3 linked regions of the Caenorhabditis elegans genome follow. The protein of the gene in region 2 interacts with the protein of the main gene of each other region in a pairwise test. Each region holds a gene or a part of one and is shown on either strand. Other genes may lie near its edges.

Region 1 (5,175 bases), 2.9 Mb from region 2:
CCCAAAATTTGTCGGTACATTACATGGATAAAGAAAAGATGGTATCATTTTAAGTTATCGTACCATTAAGCCTAGTTATTTTATTAAGGCAGATAACCAGCTCAATCCAGATATTTTTATTTGGGCAGGAGGTGTAACTGCCAACTCAGAAGTCTGGGCTATGAATAAAATGCTCCAAATCACTGAAAATAGTGGAATTAAAGTCAACGACGCTTGCGAAACCTCACTTCCTAATGTTTTTGCATGTGGAGATGTTTGTGCACTGACTACCACAGAACCATCAACTCTTTGGCAACAAGTTTTATAACCATAGATTGAGTGTTAAATAAAGTTGAAATATTTTAAGAGACAATTGTGGACACAAGCACGTCAGCAAGGAGAAGTGTGTGGAAGAGCGATGGTGGCAGGCGTCGAAGAGGCTCGTATGCAGAATATGTATTTCGAACTGTTCTCGCATTGTACGACTTTTTTCGGGTTAAAGGTGAGATAAATAACAATTTGCATGGTAATTGTCGAATTTTATTTCCAAACACTCATGAAAAAAGAAAAATAAATAATACAGTCAAATTTTTTTGCGTGTAGTTGGAAACTGTTAACGATAACGAAAATTGGTAAATGAGACCACAAGAAACAGAGGTCGATAATTTAGGGGAAACAATAGGCATTTTACTCCATCAGCACAATGCCGGGTAAAACGAAGGTGGAACTCATATTTAGTTGAATGCATAGGAGGGTACATGGAATCAATTGGTTCGGCCTTCGACTGAAAATAAGAATTTTTGAATGGGCGTTGGTATATATAAACTCACTGTAGGTAGAGACATCGATCTTTTCTGGGAGCTCAGTGATGCTGATATCGAAGCGGTCTTGAACGCTGTTCAAGGTCTTGGCGTCATTCTCATCAGAAACGAAAGTGATGGCCAAACCCTTGGTTCCAAAACGACCAGCACGTGCAACTCTGTGAAGATACGAGTCGGAATCTTCTGGCATGTCGTAGTTGAACACGATGTTGACTCTTTCGATATCCATTCCACGTCCAAACAAATCGGTGGCCACCAAGATTCTCTTTTGGAAGTCTTTGAATGCTTGGTATCTTGAAAGTCGCTCTTCTTGAGCCATTTGACGATGAATGGCAATTGATGGGAAATTTTGTTCTGTGAGGAGCTGGTGGAGAGCTTCGCAACGTTTTACGGCCTTGACGAAAATGACGACTTGGTTGAACTCGAGTGCATCGAGAAGATTCAGCAAACGACGGTTCTTCTCGGCTTCCTTCAGTTTGACGTAATGTTGCTGAAGTCCGTGCAGAGTGAGCTTGGCTTCGTCGTCGACGTAGACTTCCATTGGCTGAAAAAATGTTTTAAGGTCTAGAACGGCAGCACGGTGATGAATCGGGGGCTGGAACGTGTTTTGCAGTACATGTCACGTGTTCCCGACAAGTCTTTCGACCTATTAGCAATCAGCTTCGCTGAGGCGAGCCAGCTACCTCCCCCGAGGACGATGGCTTCTGCGTGGCGAGAGGCTTAACAAGATGAGATCTGAAATCCGAGAAATCAAAAAGCGACTTCGGAATTAACGACCAACCAAGTTCTGGCCATCTCTTTCGCATCACGGAACACACATGACTAGCATTTTGGTTTGATACATGTTTTTTGTTTCAAAAAAGTGAACAGCGGTTCCGTAGGTTCCGGATCAGAGATAAAGCGTACGTCTTGCATGAATCGCTTGCAAACAGTGCGAAGCTCCTTTGGCAATGTGGCGGAGAACATCATCACTTGCTTCTGTTGTGGAGTCATCTTGACGATTTCTTGAACATCCCGACGCATATCTGAAAAAGTTCAATAATGATTCCTATATTTACAAGTATTTCTTACCAGCATCTCCGATCATCTTGTCGCACTCGTCCAGGACGAAGTACTTGACTTTGTCAAGCTTCAGCTTGCCAGAACGAGCCAGAGCCAACATTCTTCCTGGAGTTCCAACAACAATGTGTGGACAGTCATTGGCAAGGCGTTCCTCATCTTTCTTGATGGCCATTCCACCGAAAAAGACAGCTACCTTGACTCCTGGGAGATATTTGCTAAATCTCTCATACTCCTTGGAAATTTGGAATGCCAACTCGCGAGTGTGGCACATGCAAACAACAGATACCTGAAAACAATGATTTATTGAAATTTGATGTATTACTGTTTACCTCGCCATCCACTGGCTCCAGTTGTTGAAGAGTGGTGATTACAAAAACAGCGGTTTTACCCATACCGGACTTCGCTTGGCAGACAACGTCCATTCCAAGAATGGCTTGAGGAATGCACTCATGTTGTACTTCCGATGGATGTTCGAAACCGCAGTCTCCGATGGCACGAAGAATTTCTGGCTTCAAGAGGAAGTCACGAAATCCGGAAGAATGAATAGAAGCATACGTTCCTTTAGTTTTTCTGGCATCGCCTCCGCCAACTTCTGGCTGCTTGTCTTGGATCTCCTCCTGCTCCTCTTCGTAGTCAAGAAGTTGTTCCTCTTCCATTCTGAAACAAAAAAAAATAAAGGTCTTCATAAAAAGGGGCTTGAGATTAATCCTAATTTCACGAAGAAAATAGAGAATAGTGTTTAACCTATTAGAGAAAGTCACAAATAGAACAATCAAAAGAAATTTAGTAAATAACCTCACAAAAACAGATCAAAACAGGAAAATGCAGAGCGGTTGCTCCTCATGAAGAATAAACCGCGAAACGATACCCATTCGAATATTTTCGACGCGCGACGCACACGCAACGCGTCGCTTCGTATGGTCTCGCAGCGAAGTAATTAGCAATGGGCGGGTGTTCAAATACGAGAGGGGGAATGTGGCTGTAAACAGCTGTCCAGTGCACAAGACAATATTAGTAGCGAAACGATCCGAAAGATAGATGTGTGCAAAGAATCATAGAAAAACAAATGTTCTTTCAGGTGGTGTTTCTTGGAGACTACAAACCAGAGAGACAGGTGGAAGGAGAATGGAAGATTGTATTGAGGTACTGTACACTTTTTAGATTACAATGAAACATGCTCTAATATTCAGAGACGCCGATAACGATCAACTCGTTCGATGTGTAGTCGTCAAAAATAAGATTGTCGGTGCCCTTCTAATTGGCGAAACTGACATGGAGGAGACACTCGAAAATCTGATTCTCAACAAAACAGATCTAGAAGGCATTTCAGAAACATTCTTGGAGCCGGGAGTTGATCTCGATGATTATTTTGATTAGATTATTATTATACTGTATGATGTTTATACATTTTGTTGTGTTTGAATAATATTAAACCAGTTTTCTACTATCTTTTTCACATCTATACATTTTCTGCGTCTCCATCTCTTTACCACGTGGAATACACCAGTGCTAGTCGTATTCTCCTTGCTCTCTTACACTCTTTTTCTCTATCAAATGCGTTGGGACATTGTCACATTTTCATTAGGGTTCAATATAGAGCCAAGTAGTATTGATTCAGGTTCAATTTTCATACGATATAAACTACAGACACACTCGTATTATAGATATACGACATTTCCAAAATATCGCCTTTCCGAATTGCGAAGAAATACTTGTAGTAAATGATGCATCAGAAGATATAGGATCTTGTGGAAGTGCATTGAATGCATTAATAAGAACTGCTGAAAGGCTATGCTACAGGAATAATTTGACAGTACTCACAGAATCCGTCTTGCAAGACGTGAACGTGTTAATTGTTTTGGTGGTGAGTACTTTTTATTATTTCGATAAAATAGTAGAATAAAAATTATAATTAATTTCTTGGACATTGAGAAATAGCTGTAATTATAATTGTACAATGAAATAGGCATAAATACATTTTTTGTCTCAAGTTTCAATATTTACGGTGGCGTGTAGTAAAACATCTTAAAACGTGTTGAAATTTTCCATTTTTAGTCAAAAAGTGATGATAATAGAGTTTTCGCCATTCACAATTTTGGATGCCGACCAAAAAATAATAATTTCTACGAGCTTAATATTTATTGCGTTTCAACTGTATGTTTTAAACATGTTTTAGAACACTTCTGGGTTAAAACCTGCATCAATGCTCAAGATTATTCAAAAAGCCAATACATTTGAAAATTTGGGAATTTGTCAAAACGTTGTCTGAAAAAACTTTTTTAGAATGTTTTATTATGCTTTTTCGTTACTTTAGGTTTATTTAAACTGGGATTATATGAACACTCAACTATCTATAGATATGTCGCAGGGGTTACTGTTGTTGGCAGTTTTCAGAGCGATCCCCGAACACTTCAAAACGCAAAAGACAATTCAACAATAAAGGGTGGTAATGGATATGTATTTGACACTTATTTGTCAAATTCTGTCAAAAACTGTTCAAAAATTGCTGCAAATTCAACGCATACAGGGGTATGGATTGTTGGTAGCGATGCGTCATGGAAGCTCGAAAAGGAATTGAACATGTTTGATCTTCCGCAAGATTCTATAACTGGGTTTACATTTCTGGAGAAGAAGAATCAGCTTGATCATCATGGATGGTATATTGTTGATAAAGATAACAAATTGTCTGGAATGGAATTTGATGGAGAATACGCTGGGAAACATTTTGAAGAATCCAGTCATGTAATTCTCGGCTTCATATATCTTCCATTGAATGCTGCTACATTATTCTTGTCACTTTATTCGGAATTTCCAGTAGCAGCAACCACTTATCTTGGAGTAGATTCGAACGTTACACCATTGAAAGTATGTCTTGATTTACCATCTTTCACTTTTGATAGCCATGTTTCAGTTATCACTTTTCTTTGATTTTTTTCTAGCAACGTGTACTAGTGAAGAAGAATTTATCAAAAATAAGTTGGGAATTCATGAAAAAGTATCTGAGAATGTGCAAGATCGGACAAATGCAAGAAAACAAATTTTCAAGAAATTTCAAGATTTTAAAGGAAGAGTCGGTAAGTTACTGAATTGCCGTGCCTTTAAACAAATTTGAGATATTTTTTGTGCTATTAATTTATTTTGAACATTTGGGCAAAACTATAACAATATTGTGGGAAGATTACGAAACTTATGAACGGTAGCTCTTTAGTTTCGGTCGTATCGAGACCAGACATCGTATTTTGAATTAAAAATCACGAGATTCCGCAATCGGGTTGATTGAAAAAAAGCGGAAGACATCTGTTCCTCCACTGAG
Region 2 (4,581 bases):
AATTTCCCCCAAGATTTTTTGGAGAATTTAAATCTGAACATCCATCAATTTTTATAAAAAAACTTGAACGTTCCATCGACTTTATTTTTTGGAAAAAATTTCAGAAAGATACAGCTGAAACATCGTTCCTACATTTTTAGGAAGTTTGAAATTCAAATTTATTGCAAGTTTCATGAATTTCCTTATTTTCAAAACAAAGTTTTTGAAATTTTTTCTTACTTTTTAAACTTTCAGTATGGAAACAAGCTGACTGACAACGTTGTGATAAAACCATTCACCGAGTGCCTTCGTGGAGAAAATGTTAAAATTGTAAGCTTAAAATGTTTCTAAACTTTGCCCTGAACCTAGCATTTTCAGCACAAAAATATGCAAAAAACCGTGGAAATTCTTCACAAGAAGGGCTTCAAAACCGCCATGCTGACAAACAACATGTTCTTAGATAAGGTAATCGAGTTCCTATCAATATTGAAAATTTGTTCAATGATTTTCAGGAGCACAAGGAAACCAGACTTCCATGCGATTTGACACATTTCGATGAAGTTGTAGAATCTTGTTTGGAGCATCTCATGAAACCAGACGCTCGATTTTATCATTTAGTTGAGAAAAGACTCGGAGTCAAACCAGAGGAAATTGTGTTTTTGGATGACCTCCATGAAAACATTGAAGCTGCAGAAAAGCTCGGATGGAACACAATTTTAGTAGAAGACATTGAAAAGGCGATTCATGAACTTGAGGGTTTCACTAAGGTTAAGCTGATCTAATTGGTGATGTATGTATATCTAACCGCTTTATAACTGCAATATAATTATCAAATTGTCACTTTTTATCAGGAATATAATAAATTGGAATGGTATCAAAAAATAAATAATTTGGCGATGAGAGCGATGAATCAGTTTAAGAACCCAGTTCTGTGAGCAAATTCAGGGAAACATTTTATCATTGCAGCATGCCATTCAGCTTTCATTATGTTGTCCCTGGAAAAATATGATTTTTTAAATTTGAAACTTCTACAAAAATTGTTCACAAATAATTTCATTTCAATTAATATTTCAAAGCCTTTTTAAAATAAATTGTATTGATTCTAGCAGCATGGGGATGTTTAGGTATTGTTTTAAAATATTTATATTTGAAATTTTGATTTGAAAAAACTCCAAAACTCACGTAATATTATGCGGCGGAATGTCACTTCCATGCTGCGAAACCGTATGTTTTCTCATCGTTGATTTTCGATAGTCCAAGTAATCACACTGCTTGCATTTATATTGTCTTCCAACACAATGAAGAGCAATCACATGCATTTGGAGATTCCATCGACCGCTTCTAGGCGTTTTGACTCGAACTCCACAGAGCTGACATTCATGGTAGTCGCCGACGGATTTGGCCTTTTTCGCGGCAGAATCCGAGTTGGAGCCAGATGGTTCGTCGTTCTGAAAATGAGGAATTGTGAGTCTTGGAATATAGAAAAAACTACTAACCGAGTTGACACCTATAGGCACAATTTCCGGTTCTCCACTCAACAAGCTCATCAGTTGATCTCTATACTCCTGTTCCTCGGCGTGATGATCATAACGGCGTTTGACACACCTGAAATCTTTTTTTTTTAATTTCTCGAATGTCCAGTAGATTTATTAAAGTAGATAAACTCACGGCTTGCTAGTAAGTCGAATATCCTCTTCCTCCTCCTCCTCAACAATATCGTCGTCTTCAATCGGTCCAACACCAACACTTGAAGCTTCCTGTCGGATGCCCGTAGATGTCACCATTGAATTCGAAACTTGTGAAAACGATGGAAATAGAACTCTGAAAATTTGATGAACTTAAAGTCGCAAATTTTATTTGTAAAAACTTTTCTGCTAAGTATTATACCGTATTTCCTCTAATAGTATTTCAACCAACTGATAAATTTGATAACTCAGTTGTCGTTTGTTTTATTGAAAAACTTTCGACTGACAAAATATTTGTTAAATGTTTTTCTATAGATTTGCTGTTGATTATTTATTGATATCTTTGAAATGAACCGAGATATAACTTTTTGAAAGACTAGTAGAGAATATACAGCAAATAAAGGCAGAAGGTGAGGCTTCGGAAATTTTTTTTTTGGCGAAAGAGAAGTTTTCGACAAAATAAAACCTTTTTTATTGGTTCTTTTAAGAGTGAATTTTTCTGAATTGTTTGTGAAATATAAGGTTTGATCTCAAAAATTTCCATTTTTTAAATAAAAAATATTTAAAAAAAAACCACCTACTTTTGCTCATGCACTGGATATGGAGAATGTCGAGTTTCAAATGTGACAGGAGATGAAGCTGTTTCACGGAGTTCATCTCTTGAAATTCTTGGCTCTTCTCTCTGGATTCTGTCGAGAGTCGGGTGTCGCGAAAGATCGTCCAACAGCATGAATCGAGCAAATCCATTTTCTAGCTGAAACTTTTTTTTTTCCAATTTAGTTATTTTTCACTAGAAAAACCCACCATAACTTGAACCAACTGAAGTGCTCGCTCCTTTGAGTCTATTTCTACTACGAGAAATTTTGGATCCATTCTGAGAAAAAAATTAGTTACAATATCTTAAAAGTCACGGAAGAATTCGGAGAAATATGAGGAAAAAAACCTTGAAAAAAATCCTCCCTTTCTTTCCAAATTTTCCTAAATTCTCGGCGAAAAATCAGGTTGAAAAAAACTCAAATAATTTCCTACTAAAATCCTACGGTAATGAATTTCTAGAAACAAAGAAAAAAAACTGAGCATAAGTGGCCTATAGTGATGAGATAATTCAGCCAGCAGGCAGCAGCATGCGGGCAGTCAACAGCAGTCAGCAGGCGGTCATCGATCGAAGGACAAGCAGTGCTGCGATGCAGGCAGTGAGTGGGGACTGAGAGAGTGTGCAAGATGAAGAGTGTACAGACATACGTGTACTGACGGACTGGGGAATTGGGTGGTGGAAGGGGGAAGGAAAGAGAGGGAGAGGCTGCGGAGACTGCTGTTTGGATTCAAATGCATAGCTGTTGGATTTTGCAATATATTGCAAAAAGGTGATGGGGAGATTTTAATAAAGAAGGTTTGGGTGGGGACTTTAAGAATATTGTAACTTTTTAAAGCTACCGTATTTCGGAAAATTTATTTTGCTTTATTTGAAAATTATTTTTATTTGACTTGGAACATCTGAAAAAGTGCACAAAAATTGCCGGAAATTTTTTCCGATAAATTCTCTGGTTTTTCAAGCAATTTTCGTATTGCTCGGCACTTTTGCAGTTGTTTCAAGTAAAACAAAAATTATTTTCGGATAAAAAGACTATTTTTTTATATTTAAGTTGATGGGTTTTTATCCTAAAATAATCTAGAGCACTAAAAATGCTTTAAAAATTATTTCAAAAAAATTCAAAAAATGTTTGCTGCAAAAAAAAACTGCCGGATGAAGCCAGAAAATTTTTGAAACTTTCAGTTCATTTTCTCTTCCTTCTATTTTCACAATTTTTCTGACAAATGATGAATAATCAAAGAGTTTCCTAAACAATTCGCTGCTGTACTTTTTCCTCTTGCCTTCTCTGAAACCAAAACTTCTGACTCACAATTTCCGTTTGAAAACGGGAGAGAGGAACTCTTTTTTTTCAGAAGTTTATATTTCAGTTTTTCAATTCTGAAAAATTATAAAATTTGGATATGAGACAATTAAAAATATATACATAAGTGCCACGTAAATCACGGTCTAACAAATTAAAAATAAAGAAACAAAAAAAACGTTACAAAACCACAGAACAATTCATTTATTAGTTCTCATTTGATTAAAATGAGTGAGCTTGTCAGCAATCTAAAGACTCGTCCAGATATATCGAAGCCACAATGGAGTCAAAGGACATATTACGGTAAGAATTCTTCAGGTTGCCAAAAAGTGCCAGCGAAGTTAAGACTGTTTAGATGGGATGTATCTGAAAGTTAATGTGCGGTGCATTGCAAAATTCTTGCATTTTTCAAAGTGAATAATAGCACATCGCGAAGCACATTGGACACCTTTTTCAATAATAGCACATTGGACACCTTTTTCATCGAATTATTCGGTATTTGGCTCTAGCTTCTTGCCCACGTTTTGCCCAAAACTATTAACGTTGATGAGAAATTGGCAAAACTTCGGCGAAAGTTGGGCAAGATTTTGACAAGACCTGGATTTAGGCTGCGCCAGATTTTGTCCCAAGTTTGATCAAACTCTTGGAACACTTTGGCTCAAACTTTTCTTGTGCCGCTTTGAACTTGAGAGACCCGAAAATTTGGAAACGCCAGAAATCAATAAATTACAATCTGATTTACTTCTGATTTTTAACATTTATTAACCTACATTGTAAAGAAATCCTCTTTTCCAGGTCGTGTCCGTCACTTTTTCACTCTTACTAACCCACTCACCCTGACCTCATCAGTTGCACGACAAGAGCAATGCCGACAAATTGTCTTGGACTACAAGAACGGAAAAGTCAGTCCGACGTTGACTGTGAGCGAGTTGTGGAAGGCAAAGACGTTGTATGATTCCACGTATCATCCGGATACCGGGGAGAAGATGTTCTTCTTGGGAAGAATGAGTGCACAGGTACATATA
Region 3 (8,732 bases), on a different chromosome or scaffold from region 2:
GGGGTACTGTAGGATTACTATAGTTTAGAAAAACATGAATTTTCGTTTTTTGAAGGAATAATAACTTCAGATTAGTGGAGGGATATGGTCGGGGTACTGTAGTACAACTGTAGGTGTACTGTAGGATTACTGTAGTTTAGAAAAACATGAATTTTCGTTTTTTGAAGGAATAATAACTTCAGATTAGTGGAGGGATATGGTCGGAGTACTGTAGGATTACTGTAGTTTTAGAAAAATTTACTTTTCGTCTTTTGACGGGATATTGGTTTAAGGTTAGTGGGGGAAATGGTCGGGGTACTGAAGTAGTACTGTAGAGGTACGATAGGATTACTGTATTTCAGGAAAAATAACTATTCGTCTGTTAAAGGGATATTGGTTCGGGATTAGTGGGGATATGGTCGGGGTACTGTAGTAGTATTGTAGGGGCACTGTAGGATTACTGTAGATTAAGAAAAATATGAATTTTCGTTTTTTGACGGGATATTGGTTTGGGGTCAGCGGGGGGATATTGTCGGGGTACTGTAGGGGCACTGTAGGATTACTGTAGATTAAGAAAAATATGAATTTTCGATTTTTGAAGGGATATTGGTTTGGGGTCAGTGGGGGGGATATTGTCGGGGTACTGTAGGATTACGGTAGGATAACTCTAGGATTACTGTAGTTTAGCAAAACTGACTTTTCGTTTTTTGAAGGGATAATGGTTTGGGGTCAGCGGGGGATATGGTTGGGGTACTGTAGGATTACTGTAGTTTTGGAAAAAAAAATGACTTTTCTTTTTTTGAAGGGATAATGGTTTGGGGTAAGCGGGGGGATATTGTCGGGGTACTGTAGGGGTACTGTAGGATTACTGTAGTTTTAGAAAAAAATCACTTTTGGTTTTTTGAAGGGATATTGGTTTGCGGTTAGTTGGGGGATATGGTCGGGGTACTGTAAGAGTACGGTACCTTGCGGAATGAGCACTTTAGCGCCCAAATTGTGTGGCAGTGTGAAGCCGTACTCGACGAGCAGCCGAGCATTGTCATGTGCACCATAACACACGAATATTTGTTCGCCTTCTTGAATTTGACGCTTCGCCTGGACAACGTACCGCCCGTTTCGCTTTTCATGAAGTGCGAGACCCTGGAAATTGGATTTTTTTTACTGTAAAATTATAGTGTTGTTTTTCAAAACATTATTTTTTCAGCAGTATTTGAAAATTCGAAACTTTTTGTTTTTTTTTTCGGTTAGTTTCCTGAAAAATCGGTATTCCTTGGAACCTGGAAATTTTGAAAGAAATTTTCAAAAAAAATTGATTTTTCTGCCAAGCAGCCTCTAATAAATGCCGAGTGTGGCGACTCCGCCCCTTTTTCGCGTTTTTTTTGGCTTGCGAAAAAATGTCCCACTTCGTTTTCATTAATAACTCCAGAGCCGCGCGACATCATGCTCTAATATTTGAAATCCTACTAGAAATATTTTGCCCCACGGTGGAGCAGAAAACGGAACTAAGTTCAGAGCAAAATTGAGCCCAGGGCGGCTTTCCCCAGTTTGAAAAAAAAATTTTTTGCTCTTTTTACCCCCAAAAAACCATGTTTTAATTGAATTAAAATTCGGGTTTTGCTCGGTTTCATTTCAAATTCATGTGCAAGATACTACTCAGAGAGACTGATTTTTTGAAAAAAAGTTTGAGTTCATAAGTGCAAACGAAAAAAAGTTGTGATAAAACAAAAGGTAAAAAAATGCCATTTTGCCAAAAAAAATTTTTTTTTCCGAAAAAGTAGTTTTTCGTCTTTATCTCAAGTTCTACTTCATCTTTTTTGATATTTTTTTTGCTTACCCCACGTAAAAAAATACGCTAAACACGATGTTTAACTCAGAATTGAGAAAAGTTCTATGAGTCGGCCGAGCAAGACGAATAAGTGCCAAATTTTGCACACTTTTCCATTTTCGTGAATCTACTTTTTCAATCATAACTCGGTCAGTTTTTAAGTTTTCTTAGTTTTCTAAAAATTGACGTGTAGGTCTCATCAAGACGCATCGAGACATATAAAATTTGTAAAAAGTTCAGTGGGAAAATTTTTCAAGAAAAAAATAATTCAAAAATTTAGTACTGGGGGGAGTGGTTTCCTGGGTCCCCTGAACATTTTATCCACTAAAGTTTTGCGGAATATATTTTTTATTCATAGTTTTTGATTTTATCTAATGAAAGATGAAGTTTCGTCGCATTAGCAATGCTCTGCCAAGAGATATTATTTTTTATTTATTTTCAGGCCAAAACATGTTTTTTTCTATACATCTGTCTGTGTACAAGATATAGCCCTTAACTGTACGTCTCCCTTTCGGGAATTTTATGATGAGTACAATGCTGTAATAAAACTTTCAAAAATTAGGTTTCCCGCTGACTTATCAGTGATAAACGGTTTTCGAACGTCTTTCCCCAAATAGTCATAATTGAAGAAAGCGGAATTGAAAGACGACTCCCTTCAGAAATTTACATTCCTTACTTCCAGTTTGAGCTCTCTCCCGCATGGCCGGGTGGTTAGTGCGTATGACTGCAGAAATTTTGGTAGTTGGTTCAATTCTACCAAGTGATAAATTTTTTGTTTTTTGTGAGTAATCGGGATTCGAATAGAAATACTCGATTTTATACAAAATATGGGTACGTCTCCCCTAATATAAAGCCTCCTCAAACTTCAATCAATCAAAACTCAGCTTGAACTGAACCGGCAAGGAGACTCGCCTTACACCCCCTACAACTGGCGGGCCCGCAGGGCCCGCTATCCTCAATTTTTTTCAAAATCTGAGGTGTGTTGCCACGTTGCCTCAATACGGTTTGATCTACAAAAAATGCGGGTATTTTTTGCCCAAAAAAATGTGACAAAATCAGTTGAGAACTCTGCGTCTCATTTTCCCGCATTTTTTGTAGATCAACGTAGATCAAGCCGAAATGGGACACTCTGACACAACGTGAGTGCCACGTTTCAAAAAAAAAAACTTTTTTTCGACAAAAAAATATTTTGCGATTTTTCGAATTTTTTTTTTCAAAAAATGTATTATTTTTTGCCGGATTTTGATATTAATGTCATCAAAAAATAATAAAAGTTTCAATAAAAATTAAGAATTTTCGCGCATTTTTCAGCTTTTTAAAATAAATTTTCTCAGGGATCCATGTTCAAAAATTTTTTTTTTCACATAAATCCTTCAGAAAAACCGAACATTTTACGATTTCCTTCAAAAATGTGTCTCGAAAACCTGCATTTTCACAGAAATTGGTTGGAAAAATCGGAAAAGTTCAGATTTCCCTCAAAAAATGCCCTAAAAACCTGAATTTTCACATAAATTCGCCAGAAAATCGAAAAAAAATCAGATTTCCCTCAAAAAATGCCCTAAAAACCTGAATTTTCACATAAATCCATCAGAAAAAGCGGAAATATTCAGATTTCCATCAAAAAATGCCCTAAAAACCTGAATTTTCACATAAATCCATCAGAAAAAGCGGAAATATTCAGATTTCCTTTAAAAAATGTTCCTAAAAGCCTGAAAAGTCTTTTTTGATCCGAAATTTTCTTAAAAATTCGGCAAAAAATCGGAATTTTCCACAAAAAACGGCTAAAAATCCATTTTTCCCGTAAAAATACCCTAAACCTTAAAATTTTCACATAAATCCATCCGAAAAACCGAAAAAATTCAGATTTCCCTCAAAAAATGCCCTAAAAACCTGAATTTTCACATAAATTCGCCAGAAAATCGAAAAAAAATCAGATTTCCCTCAAAAAATGCCCTAAAAACCTGAATTTTCACATAAATCCATCAGAAAAAGCGGAAATATTCAGATTTCCATCAAAAAATGCCCTAAAAACCTGAATTTTCACATAAATTCGCCAGAAAAATCGAAAAAAATCAGAAAAAACTGAAATTTTTCCAATTTTTCTTAGTTTTTCCCGAACCTGATATTTTTCCGGATCATGATTAAGCATATCAACATATGGAATAACTGCAATCGTATCTCCATCACTATTATCCACATTATCGTGCTCTTCATTTTCAACGAAAATGCACCGAGTATTCACCACATGCCACGCCCATAATATCTTGTCGTGGCTCAGTTCGGGAAAGAGGCGGCGGAGCTGAAAATGCAAGTGTGCTCTAGTGATAATGATGGGGGGGGGGGGGGGGGCGGGAATTTGAAATTTCCCTGTATTTTGGGGGTTTTCTTCAAAATTGGCATTCTGTAAAAAATCTGTAAAAACAAAAAACTTATTATCAAAAATTTTGCTCTCTACCCAAATAATTGTTTTTGGACTCGGCACGCACGTGGTAGCAGAGTCTCTCATTTCGGCTTGATCTATGCTGATCTACAAAAAATGCGGGAGAATGTCGACGCAGAATTCTCAAGCTGACGTTACATTTTGTTGGACACAAAAATTCCCGCATTTTTTGTAGATCAAACCGTAATGGGACAGCCCCTGGCACCCCACGTGGCTCGAGACAATTTTCTGAAAAAAAAAGTGTGCGACAGAGCGTAATTGCTCATCAATGTTTCGAATTTTGGCTACACTTTCTTTAAAAAAAAGATTACATTGAATTTAAAAAATCGTATAGATTTTAACTTTATTACGGGAACACAAAATTCTGAAAATGCGTATTGCACAACATATTTGACGCGCAAAATATCTCGTAGCGAAAACTACAGTAATCCATTCAATTAATACTGTAGCTCTTGTGTCGATTTACGGGATCTCCATTTTCTTTTTTTCGAAGAATGAGATCCCGTAAATCGCCACAAGCGCTACAGTAGTCATTTAAAAAAATTACTGTAGTTTTCGCTACGAGATATTTAGCGCGTCAAATATGTTGTGCAATACGCATTCTCAGAATTTTGTTTTATTTTCGTGATAATTTTTATAATTTCAAAACGTTTTTTTTTCAAATAAAACCCGAAAATTGATGAAAATCTCGAAGAAATATTATAAAACGAGGTTTTTATTCAAAAAATACCAAAATTTTTGAGATAACAAAACCTTTTGGGTCTCGAGGCGAAAATGTGCGACAGAGCGTACTTGCATTAATTTTTACAAAGTAGCATTTTTTGGAATAACATTTTTTTAATTTCCAAATAAACATTTATATAAGTACGCTCTATCGGACATTTTTCTAAAAAGTTCATTTTCTTGAAAAACAGAGAAAAATTGGATTTTTTGCAATTTTTCTGAATTTTTCGAAAAAAAACCCCCGAAAATCAGACAGACTGTCCCAATTTTTTCCCGAACAAATGCGACTTCAGCACGTTCTTAACCATGCGAAATCAGTTGAGTACTCTGCCGCATTTTTTGTAGATCAACGTAGATCAAGCCGTAATAAGACACACTGACACCACGTGATCAGAGAACATTTGAAATTTTTTGCACTTTTTTTTCCAACAAAAAAAAACCCCGAAAATCGGAGAAAATTGGATTTTTTTTTGACTTCTCACTACCTTTTCCGAAATCTTGAAAAAAAAGAAACAATTTTGAAAAAAAATGATTTTTTGCAAAGATTCAAAAAAAGTTTTTCAAATTTTTTATTTAATTTTTGAAAATAACAAAAAAAAACATTTTTCCGGGTCTTGAAGCGATTTTCGCTAACTTTTCTCCCGAAAATTATTGCAAATGCTCTCTATCGCACTCCTGAAACCAAAAAATCACTTTAAGCCCCGGAAAATGTCTGATAGAGCGTATTTACATTAATTTTTACAAAATTAAAATTTTTTTTTGCAAATTTTCTGAATTTTTCGAAAAAAAAACCCCGAAAATCAGACAGACTGTCCCATCACGGTTTGATCTACAAAAAATGCGGGAATTTTTCGCCCAGAAAAATGTGACGTCAGCACGTTCTTAACCATGAGAAATCAGTTAAAAACTCTGCGTCTCTTTTCCCGCATTTTTTGTAGATCAACGTAAATCAAGCCGAAATAAGACACTCTGGCACCACGTGATCAGAGAAAATTTGAAATTTTGGCTTTTTTTTTTAAAGAAAAAACCCAGAAAATCCGAAAAAAATTAGAATTTTTTGCAATTTTTCTGAATTTTTTGGCTCTTTTTTGGGTAAAAAACCAGAAAATCGGAGAAAAATTGAAATTTTTTGCAATTTTTCTGAATTTTTTGGAACTTTTTTGAAGAAAAACCCCCGAAAATCGGAGAAAAATTGGATTTTTCGTGACACTTTTCACTACCTTTTCCGAAATCTCGGAAATTTCCTTTTTCTGATCAATCCAATATTTTCGAATAGACAACGGAAGAGTATTCACATCATAGTCAATTCCCTTAAAAGCTGGCGTATTAAATTCCTTTGGTAAAACTTTTAAATAAGGTGACCAGGCGGAGTGTTCCGTGTCTTCAAACGCGAAAAACATTGTCAAAATCTCCATTGGCTTCAGTTTTTCTCCGCCGATTTTTGCCAATTTTTTGCGATAAACCGGGAGATCTACGACAAGTGCCGCGTTGATCATATCAGTCTCTGGAAGAGTTATAAACGCTTTTCCAGTACGGAATCCTGTTGTCGCGTAGATTCCGTTCCCGCAATTTCCGGGTGGTGGACATGTGATTTCTAGGCCATCGAATTGATAGCCACGGCCTTTGCACCAGGAAATGAATTCGTTCATTTTTTAGGGCTGAAATGTTTAAAAAAATTTCGTTTTCAAGGCGTGGGTAAACGCGCTCCATTGATAATTCACACCGTGTACTCGTGTACTCCACATGGACATTTTTGCAGGAGTTTGAATTGTTTCGCGCTCCATTGACAATCGCCTGCCGGACGGGAAAGTCGTGTACTCCACACGGACAAGTTCATTTAGTTTTACAACTAAAATCGAGCCACGCGACGCGCCGTAAATCTACTGAGCCAAAATGGCCTAGTTCGGCAAAAACTCTTCCGTTTCAATATATGAGGGAAGCTAGAATTCCATGAAAAAAATGGTTGGAAAATAAAAAATATTTTTTTGAAAAAATTAAAATTTCCGAATGTTTTCGGAGAAAATTTGAATTTCCCGCTCATAATTTTTGGAAAATTCAAATTGCCCGCCAAAATGTTTTTTGAAAAAAAAAAATTCTATTTTGTCTTGTCCACGCAGACTACAGGACATCGTGATGCTTATCAATGGAGCGCAATTGCACTGTTTGGATTTGAAAATTTCAAAAAATCAATGAAAAAAAGATAGCTGAAAGTTGATTTTCAAATCAAAAATTATGGAAATTTCGGCAAAAAATTACAAAAAATTTTTATTAACAAAAAAATTGTATATATAAAAAATGACAAAAAATTGCTAGGTAACCGTTTTTTTTTGATAGTTCATACACGTCGTACAGAAAATCCAAGAGAGAAAAAGTGGAATGGAATGTAAAATTTTAAGAAGGGGGATACACATGGTGTCAGAGTGCCCCATTTCGGCTTGATCTACGTAGATCTACAAAAAATGCGGGAAAAGAGGAGACGCAGAGTTCTCATCTGATTTCGTATGGTTAAGAACGTGTGGTTGACGTCACATTTTTTTGGGCAAAAAAATCCCGCATTTTTTGTAGATTAAACCGTCAAACCGAAAGTCTGTCTGATTTTCGGGGTTTTTTTTTCGAAAAATTCAGAAAAATTGCAAAAAATCCAATTTTTCTCTGTTTTTCAAGAAAATGAACTTTTTAGAAAAATGTCCGATAGAGCGTACTTACATAAATGTTTATTTGGAAATTAAAAAATGTTATTCCAAAAAATGCTACTTTGTAAAAATTAATGCAAGTACGCTCTGTCGCACATTTTCGCCTCGAGACCCAAAAAGTTTTGTTATCTTAAGAATTTTGGTCTTTTTTGTAAAATCAATTTTTTTTATTATTCAGAGAACTGTTTAAATTTCGCATGGCTAAGAACGTGTGGTTGACGTCACATTTTTTTGGGCGAAAAATTCCCGCATTTTTTGTAGATCAAACCGTAATGGGACAGCCCCTGGCACCAGGTGAGTATATAATAATACAAATATTACAACAACAGAAAAAAAGTGTAGTTGATAATAAAAATTGCATAGAAAGAGAGAAAAAATTGGGAAAAATCGACAAAAAGTGCGTGTTTCAAAAAAATTTTTTTAAAGCTTTTTTTCTGAAAAAAATCCAAAAAAAAAAATTTTTTTTCTAAAAACTAGATTTTGACGCCTGCAAATTTTTTTTTAGAAATTTACGAAAATTTTAGATTTGAAATTTTGGTTAGAAATTTGGGAAAAAATATCTGTAAAAATGTGAGAATAATGATTTTTTTGTTTGTAATTCCAAATATTTTTTAAAATATCTATTTAGGCAAACTTTCAACTGCAAAAGTACTAATTTTGACGCCGAAATTTCAAAATTCAAGAATTTTATTTTTCCTAAAATTTTTATTTTCCGAAAATATTGAAAATGTGGAAAAAAATATAAGAAATTCTGTCACTTTGTCTCATTTTGGCTTGATCTACGTTGATCTACCAAAAATGCGGGAGAAGAGGAGACGCAGAGTTTTTAACTGATTTCTCATGATTAAGAACGAGCTGACGTCACATTTTTTTGGGCAAAAAATTCCCGCATTTTTTGTAGATCAAACCGTGATGAGACAACCTGGCACCACGTGCTCAATGGAATTCCGAACCCCGTAGATTTCAACTACCCCGATTTTCCGATTTCAGCTCTATTTTTCAGAAAAATGTCTGTTTGATTTTCGGGGGTTTTTTTCGAAAAATTTAGAAAATTTGCAAAAAAAAAATTTTT

Evidence for each region.
Region 1: the proteins of lir-3 (region 2) and hel-1 interact in a two-hybrid assay, tested with the Caenorhabditis elegans proteins (one large-scale study listed by BioGRID).
Region 3: the proteins of lir-3 (region 2) and set-29 interact in a two-hybrid assay, tested with the Caenorhabditis elegans proteins (one large-scale study listed by BioGRID).

Annotation. Positions count from the first base shown.
Region 1 is NC_003280.10:8,326,352-8,331,526, forward strand, and holds hel-1 (Spliceosome RNA helicase DDX39B homolog), read right to left. Parts: upstream 2,520-5,175; 5' UTR 2,519-2,519; coding exon 2,192-2,518; intron 2,149-2,191; coding exon 1,872-2,148; intron 1,826-1,871; coding exon 1,707-1,825; exon of another isoform or gene 1,582-1,706; intron 1,536-1,581; exon of another isoform or gene 1,345-1,535; coding exon 810-1,344; intron 764-809; coding exon 744-763; 3' UTR 501-743; downstream 1-500. Other genes in the region: C26D10.3 (Pyridine nucleotide-disulfide oxidoreductase domain-containing protein 1), read left to right, coding at 1-41, 89-298, 347-481, 2,941-3,005, 3,053-3,239; C26D10.4 (GHMP kinase N-terminal domain-containing protein), read left to right, coding at 3,417-3,480, 3,527-3,726, 4,257-4,727, 4,774-4,936.
Region 2 is NC_003280.10:11,182,270-11,186,850, forward strand, and holds lir-3 (Transcription factor lir-3), read right to left. Parts: upstream 2,539-4,581; 5' UTR 2,538-2,538; coding exon 2,469-2,537; intron 2,419-2,468; coding exon 2,246-2,418; intron 1,801-2,245; coding exon 1,648-1,800; intron 1,585-1,647; coding exon 1,476-1,584; intron 1,428-1,475; coding exon 1,162-1,427; intron 975-1,161; coding exon 890-974; 3' UTR 806-889; downstream 1-805. Other genes in the region: bigr-1 (HAD family phosphatase), read left to right, coding at 235-309, 358-444, 492-761; sfxn-1.2 (Sidoreflexin), read left to right, coding at 3,784-3,859, 4,352-4,572. UniProt on the Caenorhabditis elegans protein: Positively regulates the RNA polymerase III-associated transcription of small non-coding RNAs.
Region 3 is NC_003279.8:1,403,828-1,412,559, reverse strand, and holds the start of set-29 (SET domain-containing protein), read right to left. Parts: upstream 6,626-8,732; 5' UTR 6,617-6,625; coding exon 6,188-6,616; intron 4,104-6,187; coding exon 3,924-4,103; intron 1,120-3,923; coding exon 945-1,119; intron 1-944.